Oryctolagus cuniculus: one gene and its partner. The protein of the gene in region 2 interacts with the protein of the main gene of each other region in a pairwise test. Links are inferred from orthologs where the notes say so. Each region holds a gene or a part of one and is shown on either strand. Other genes may lie near its edges.

What was found.
Region 1: the proteins of EPB41L3 (region 2) and YWHAG interact in binary tests that used the Homo sapiens proteins (3 or more experiments, as listed by UniProt). The link is inferred for Oryctolagus cuniculus from reciprocal best matches to the Homo sapiens genes EPB41L3 and YWHAG.

The regions. Positions count from the first base shown.
Region 1 is NC_091450.1:44,226,028-44,230,297, reverse strand, and holds the start of YWHAG (14-3-3 protein gamma), read right to left. Parts: upstream 3,079-4,270; 5' UTR 2,837-3,078; coding exon 2,750-2,836; intron 1-2,749. UniProt on the Homo sapiens protein: Adapter protein implicated in the regulation of a large spectrum of both general and specialized signaling pathways. Binds to a large number of partners, usually by recognition of a phosphoserine or phosphothreonine motif.
Region 2 is NC_091441.1:62,339,532-62,343,338, forward strand, and holds part of EPB41L3 (band 4.1-like protein 3), read right to left. Parts: intron 1,255-3,807; coding exon 694-1,254; intron 1-693. UniProt on the Homo sapiens protein: Tumor suppressor that inhibits cell proliferation and promotes apoptosis. Modulates the activity of protein arginine N-methyltransferases, including PRMT3 and PRMT5.

The DNA of each region.
Region 1 (4,270 bases), on a different chromosome or scaffold from region 2:
CCACACACAAACCTCACATTTTCTCACCAGAATTGATCTTTTCTTTCCATTTTCCATGAACATTTGGAACTACCTGTGCAATTCACTCTGCTATTTCACTAGATGCAGATAAATTTTAGCCCCTCTATCACCATGCCGATTTCAGCCTTAGGAAAGAGCTCACTTTGGTGGTAAACCTGAGTTTTCCTTCACACTGCCCAACTGCTCCAGATGACTTAGACACATGGGCAGGGACAGTTTCAGACGCAGCTCCCGCGTCCCTTACGTAATCCTGTAACCCATTCAGGCAGGTATTGCCCCATTCCACGGATGGGGAAAGGAAGTCAGAGGGAAACCTACTTGCTAAGTCAACATAAATAGCTTTCAAAAAACATCCTTGTTGGGGCCAGCACTGTGGTGCACCGGGTGAAGCCTGCTGGCATCCCCCTGAGCACTGGTTCAAGTCCTGGCTGCTCCACTTCCGATCCAACTCCCTTGCTAATGGCCTGGGAAAGCACTGGGGGACGGCCCAAGTGCTTGGGCCCCTGCATTCTCATGGGAGACCAGGAAGAAGCTCCTGGCTCTGGCTGTTGCAGCCATTTGGGAGAGTGAACCAGTGACGGAAGACCTCTCTCTGCCTCTCAAATAAATAAATCTTAAAAGAAAAAAAAAAAAAAAAAAACCCTGATTGTACAATTGGTTCTCTCCTCCCTGCTCTGTCGAGGAGAGGAAGCACAGAGCAGCTTCCCAAATCCTGAAGTCAAATGTTTCCTGAAAGGTCTCCGTTCCCTACGGCTTCCTGAGAATAACCCAGTGGGAAGCCGCAGTTTCTTAGGGTTTTCATTAAAACCTGCCAATTATTTGCAATAAACCCGAGTACACATTCCACCCCTGCACTGTGATCCTGTATTATTTTAAAAATTCTTTCATTCCGCTGTTGTCCCAATTTTTAAAATGTGCGAGATCAATGCTTCAAAAAGACGAAAGTATCTCATGGATCCTGAGACCAACTGGAAACGGGAAGACGAGTGAGGCATATCCAGGGGTCGCGGGTTTGCATGTCTGAGGGAAAAGGAAATTCGTGTTTTCTGGACCCGTTCTTATCTGGGGGAGGATAAAGGGCTCAGCTCCACCTGGCTCCTCAGCCACCTTCTGCACTCCTTGGACAGACGCCAAGTGCACACTCCTCCCAGCTCCGAGGTGCACTGCAGCCTCTGTGTCATTGTGCGTGACATCACTGGGCTGCTATGGGTACAGGTGCGAGGTCACTCGCCTTCCTGTGAAACTCGGAACATGGCAGAATTAAAGCCTAAATAAAGGACACGAACCGGAGATATTCCCAATAGTGTTGAGCAGATATTAAAAGTGCGACTTGCATTATCAGAGCATTAAAACGTTAAGAACTACCAACTCTGTGGATGTATGAAAACAGCACCATCTCCAATTTCAGAACAATGACCTTCCTCAACAGGATAAAAAAATTTTTGTTAATATCTGTAGCTGGAGCAAGGATAACAGACCAGCCTTGTCACCTTGCTGCTCAAGAATGAACGTAACCCACACCGCTCTGAAGGTGCAGCCTTAAACCGCAGCCCGAGAGGCGTTCTAACCCTGTTACATAAGGCAGGAAGTGAAATACTAAGGCGGTGGGAGCCCTAAACCATCCGTTTTCCTGCGTCTCCTTCAGCAATAGCCCCCCTCCCCTGAATTCACACTGCGGGCCGGGGCGAGCTGGGGCTCCTGACAAAATGGTGCAGCCGGGGGCAGGGACCCGCATCCCGCACAGACCAGACCGCGGGGCTGAGCGGGGCTGCCTCTCCTCCAGGGCGAGGGGCAGGAAGCTCCGGCGGCTCCCAGAGCGAATTCCTGAGCAAGGGCTCGCTCCCCTGGCCGCGAAGTGCTCCCTGCCTCCACCCAGTCTAGGCTCTCTGCAATATGACAAATGCAGAACCTTCTGGAACGCCTGGATCCTGCCTCCCACCACCGCTTTGTTTGCAATATCAGATCAGACGGACTGTGTGCCTATATCTCTATATATTTTTTTTCAACTTGTAGGAATTTCAACAGACGCGTGCCTGTGTTCAAAGAAGAAACAGGGAGCTAAATTCTCAACGTTTATTTTCAGGGCGATACCTACCCTTTCCAATGCAAGAACACAAGGGGAAAAAAATGGAGATGACATATTGAGAACAATCAATGGAAACGCCAGCGAGACAAACGCCCCCCCCCCAAAAAAAAAGGGCAGGGGATGCGCTTTGGGCCATGGAGCTACAGCCTTTTGTTAAGAAAAACGTGAGCCAGGAGGTTTCGATTTTGCACCGCGGAGCCCAGGTTTTCCGGAGCACCTTCCCCCCCCCCCCAACCCCCACACCCCGGGGAGGGTCCAAGGGCTGGGGAGGGGGTGGCCACCCGGGAGACCCGCCGAGCGGACGGGAAAGGCGCCGCCCAGACACCAGGGAGAGAAAGAGGAACGGCGTCCATGCGGCCCCCCGCCCCCACGCCCGGCGGGGAGGAGGGGAAGTGGGGCACAAAGGATGCGCAGGGCCCCCCGCACACCCGGAGACCAGACCCGCAAGACCCCGCCCAGCGCCGCCGGGCCCCCCGGGCGAGGCCGCGTCCCCACCCGGGTCCCCGCCGCAGCCCCCGCGGGGACGCAGCCCCCGGGCTGCCGCCCCCTCCCCTGCCGTCGCGCCGGGCCTTGCCCGCCGCTGACCGCGTGCCCCCCTCCCGGAGGGACGGGGGAGCGTGGGGGAGGGGAGGAGACACTCACGTTCTTCATGGCCGCGGCCATGTCGTCGTAGCGCTCCGCCTGCTCGGCCAGTCGGGCTTTCTGCACCAGTTGCTCGCGGTCCACCATCTTCGCGGGCTGGGTCGGGCCGGAGGGGGACACCGGGGCGGCCTGAAGGGGCTCGGAGGGCGGCTGCGGCGCGGCTGGGGCCCGTGTGCCGGAAAGACCGACCCACGAGGCGAGAGGCTGAGGCGGCGGCGGCGGCAGCGGCTGAGGCGGCGGCGAGGAGGAGGCGGCACGAGCTGCGACCGCGGGACCGGGCGCGAGGCGGCTGCGGCTGCTGTGCGTGCCGCGGGCGGACAACCCCCTGCGGCCCCGCCCACGCCGCGTGACGCAAGCGGCCCCGCCCACTCACCCGCGCGCGCGCGCGCGCGCGCCCGCCCGCCCAGGCCCCGCCCGGGCATTCGCGCCGCTCGAGCTTCGGTCCCCCATCCCCCAGCTCGGCCCGCTGCGGTCTTGCGAGTGTCCTCTGCTTCCCCGCTGCCCCCCGCCACGCTCCCACCCACCCACCCCTTTTTTTTTTTTTTTTTACTGCACCCGGATTCCTTCGCCTAAGCCTCTCCAGACTCCCCTCCCCCCTTCAGGCCCCGGGCCGGCCGGGCCTAGGGCGCGCGTGGGCTCCTGGGAGTTGTAGTTCACAACGCCGTCCAACGGCGCATTGAGGAAACCGAAGACAAAAGGGCGGCCGAGACTACATCTCCCAGTGTGCATAGCGCGCAGGGGCGTGGGAGGATGGGGCTCCTAAACCGGCGGACACGGGAGACCTCTGGCGGGGACGAGGGCGGCAACGGTCGGAGCGAGTGCTGATTCACGGCCCCGCCCCATGTCCTCTGGGCAGTTACCCGGGGAGGGGCGGGGCCCCAGCCCAGACCCTGTTTTCCAGGCAGAATAGCCGGTCATGGCGGGGAGCAGGGCCCGGGAGAGGGAATGAGGGGGCGCGGACACGGTAGCTCCAGCCTGTCAGCATGGCGCTCCCCCGCGCGACGGCTGCCTGAAGCGGGGGACTCTCTGTCCCCAAGCGAGGCTCCAGGTCCGCAGTCCCCCTGGAGGCTGCTGGACCTGTCCGGGTGACACGTAGGAAGCGGAATAGCGGCTGGGCACCCTGGTTCACGTCCCCAGGGGACGCGTCGGAGCCCGTTCCTCCGCTCCGGGTGGAGCTGCAGAATTTTTTATCTCCATGACACTGCGGCTGGGGCGGGCCACCCCTCTGCCCCCACCCAGCACCTGCACCCTGACACAGGCTTATTCCTGGGTTCCACAGCGCGCACCCACCCTCGCCTGCCTGCTTTGCATCAGTCGTTCGACAGGTATTGAGCGCCTGCTATGCTCCCAGCAATGAACGAAGCAGCAAAAAAAAAAAATCCCTGCCCCACAAAACAAGCGAGATAAAAATCAATAATGTGGGTTAGAAAGCAAAAAAAGGGAGTCCAAGGAAGGGCTCTGAACCTCACATGAGTTTCTGTGAGGGGAATATTCTAGACTCTGCTAGATGTCGGAGGAACC
Region 2 (3,807 bases):
GCGACGCCAGTGCTAGCACTGATGAGATCCCAGCCTGGTTCTATAATGTAGGGAAGCCTGCATTAGGTCCTGTCCTGATTGGGTTTGAACCCTGCTCACTGCATGCAGCTTTCCCTGGTTCTGTTTCTGGACCTACCAACAACAGACATCATTCGGGTGTTTTAAATCCCGTGGGACACTCGTTCTGAACCAGGGCATCTGACACAGCTCTGTGAGTAACAGGGACAGACTGGCAACGGGTGGGGCATTCCCGGATCCTAGAGCTGTAATTTTGGAACACTACCCAGATAATGATGACACAGCCCTTGGGGTGCTCCCTCCCAAATCTCCCTGGCTATCATTTCAGTTCAAAGTTATTCATGTGTCTTGGGTGTGATTTACTTTGTCACATGATAACTGCATAGAACCTGCAATTTAGCCCTGATCTTTTACAATGCTAATGGGTTCTTTAACATTGACTTCCGGCTGAGTCCTTTACCCCTAAATGAACTCAGCGATATGGCCACATGGTGTTGTGCCTAACCCTGGGGCCCGGGTTGGACTCCCCAACACACAAAAGAAACCTCAACGGATCGGCACAGACAATAAATGAGGCTCTGAAAGTAGGACCAGTATCGCAGCAGCCGGCTACCACTGTGTCGGACTGAAGCACGGAACACGCAGGGGAAGTGTGTTCTATGCCGAGGTACACACCTCTTCCTCTGAACTGTCACTCGGGTCATTGTCTAGGGAGGCGCTCAAGGAGGCCGCCTTGGGCTCCAGGTAGCAGAGGCACAGAGCCAGAGGGAAGGAGAGAGTGAGGGCATATGGCACTGAGAAGGAGGCGGAGACCAGGAAGAAAAAGATGAAGAGGAAACAGGGCACGAGGGACGGGGAGCGGATGGGGAGGTAATGCTGCAGGCTCTGGGGCAGGAGGTTGGTTTCAGAGAGGTTGGGGAAAGAGAGGTAGCCGTCATCATCGAGGAGAGAGGGGAATGACTCGGGGAGCTGCAAGGAGAAGGAGAACAGGGTGGTCCCTTTGCCAGTTTGCTGTCTGCAGCTGAAAGCCACATCTTGATCCCCCACGTAAGCCTTCCCTTGGCCATCAGGGTCCAAGGTGGGCTCTCCACGCATGTGCTGGGCTTTGGGCGCCTCGCAACCTGGCAGTGCGTGCTCCTTCTCCTTACACCTCCGACGCAGCTCTGTAGAGGATGCAGGGGTATGATGGGCTGATGGGGGTGACAGGGGACATGAGTCGGTGCCAAGCCCAGGTGACTGATGTGAAAGAGACAGAGAGAGACAGGAAGCAGCAAACAGAGGTGCAAAAGGACAAAAAGAAAACTGCAATTAGTTAATTTTCTTATGGGAATCAATATAAATTGTAAAACAAGAACTTAAGCACTAGGGTTGCTCATGAATTGTCAAGTATTCAAGCTGCATGCCAACCTCATCGTGAACAGCTACGGTTCTCCCACAGGACCATCACATACAAGGTGGGATTTTTTTTTTTTTTAAGTCAGAACTGAAGGTATTTGTGGGAAATCCCAAAGTCTAAAATTTTACACAATCAAAAAAAATTTTCATTTTAGGCCAACAACTTGAGAAAGTTTTAGAACTTTGAGGACAAATACAATTCTGATAACTTAGATATGTCCTATCATTCTATATAAGACACTAACAGAGATTTAGACTGAGCAATAAATATACCAGTTACAGTAACACTGAAATAAATTTTTGCAGAATGGAAAACTTGGGACTTTAAAGGATTAAAGTCAAGACTTTCAATAACTTTGTCCTGATCTAGAAGTAGCAGATGTAGTATTATAGTTGAGCTGACTTAAAAATGAAAATGAAATCCAATACAAATTTTATTATTATTATTATTATTTATAATCTCCAGCATTACTCCTTCCCTTGTTTAATTAACTACATCCAAAACAGGTGGTTTTCACAAAACAAGAGGTTTCTGGCGCCATTCTTATCTGATAAGAACTCATCACCAGGAGACTCAACAAGGAGCATCTCAGAGACTCTGACCCCCTCAATGAATGGAGGCTCCTCTGAAAACCTTTCTATTTTGTCTCCTTTCTCTAGGACCAAAGCAGAATAAATGAAAAGAAAAACACAAATAAATGGTTTTAACAAGCTGACTAGCAAAAAGAAAGGGCTGTCTTGTAACATGGTTTGTGTTTTCTTTCTATTTTTGTGGTCCATAAATAATAGAAAGATACAATTTCCCAGCCTTCTGGTTTTTCTTAGCAGATAAAGGGCACAGTCATACCTTTGATTTGAGTCCTTAATACAACGGTAGAAACAGGCATTTCTACAAAAGTGCCTACTACATGCTGCCTACTACAAGTCTTTGGGGGGCAAAGAGGTCCAGTTCCCATTTATTCTGCATCCTGTACACCTCACTGACCAAAGCCAGTTTCCTCTGCAGATAGGTGGCAAGGCAGCGGCTAGGCAACAAAGGGAAGAAGGAAAGCAAGTTCATTGCAAGCAAGGCCTGTGCAGATGCGGAAGCTGTCACAGCCTGGCAGGGTACAAGGCCAAGGCACCCGCACCTGAAGATAAATGCTACATTCTGAGGTCGGCATTGTGGCTCAGCGGGTTAAGCTGCTGCTTGCAAAGTGGGCATCCCATGTTTGAATCCTGGTGCTCTGCTTTCCAATCCAGCTCCCTGCTAATGCTCCCAGGGAAGCAACAGATGATGGACCAAGTACTTGGGCCCTTGTTACCCATGTTTGGGAACCCAGATGGAGTTCCTGGCTTCAGCCTGGCCAAGCTCTGGCTGTTCTGAACATTTAGGGAGTGAACCAGCAGATGGAAGATTTCTTCCTCTGTCCCCCTCTCTGTTTCTCTGCCTTTCAAATAAGTGAATAAATGAATATGTTTTTTAAAGAGCTACAGTTTCTATGTGTGTGTGTGTTTTGCCTAGTGACCTGATAGCATGGAAATTATCCAGGCTCCTTGGGGCTGGGGGGTGGTGGTGGTGGTGGTTGTTTATCCAATTCTGACTTGGAAAGAGGTGGTAAATATAGCAACAGAAGGAAAGAAAATGCACAAATAAAATTATATCATGGCTTTATTAGCATTAGAAGTATCTCTTTTGACCATAAGTCACTCCCAAACATGCACATTTGAAATAAAGTTGTGCATTTTAAACAGGAGCCTGCATGAATCTCATTCAGCCAGGAATGACACAGAATTAACAAGCTACGTTCTGCAAGAAGACAACAGTCCTCCAGCAGAGAGCAGCACCGTGTGCTTGGGGCATCACCAGGGGGAGACACCCGCCTCTTCCAGCAATCCAGGCCGGGTCTTCTAAGAACTTTGTCAGTAACATATTTTCCTTTGGTTAAAATGTAAGTACTATCTATGTTCCTTTTTTGAAGATGGAGATGAATAAAATTAAGGTTTAATCTTTCATGTTGCCTATTAAAGAGGGTTTTAAAAGACAACTTTACAATGGGGAATTTGACAGTACTTCAAAAAGTTCGTGGAAATGAATATCATGAAAAATTATGCATAGATTTAAAATTCTTTTTGTACTAACACAGACATTAAAATTATTTTTTTCTATTAGAAAGGCAGAGAAGTTTACACACACAAGAGGCAGTGTACTCCTATTCACGGATCTACTTCCTAAATACCCTTAATGCCCAGGGGTAAGTCAGGCTGGAGCCAGGAATTCAATCCAGGTCTCCCACATGTGTAACAGGGACCCAAGAACTTGAGCCATCATCACCTGCTGCCTCCTGGGGTGTGCTTTAGTAGGGAGCCGGAACTAGGAACTGAGCCAGGACTTTGAACCCAGGCACCCCAATA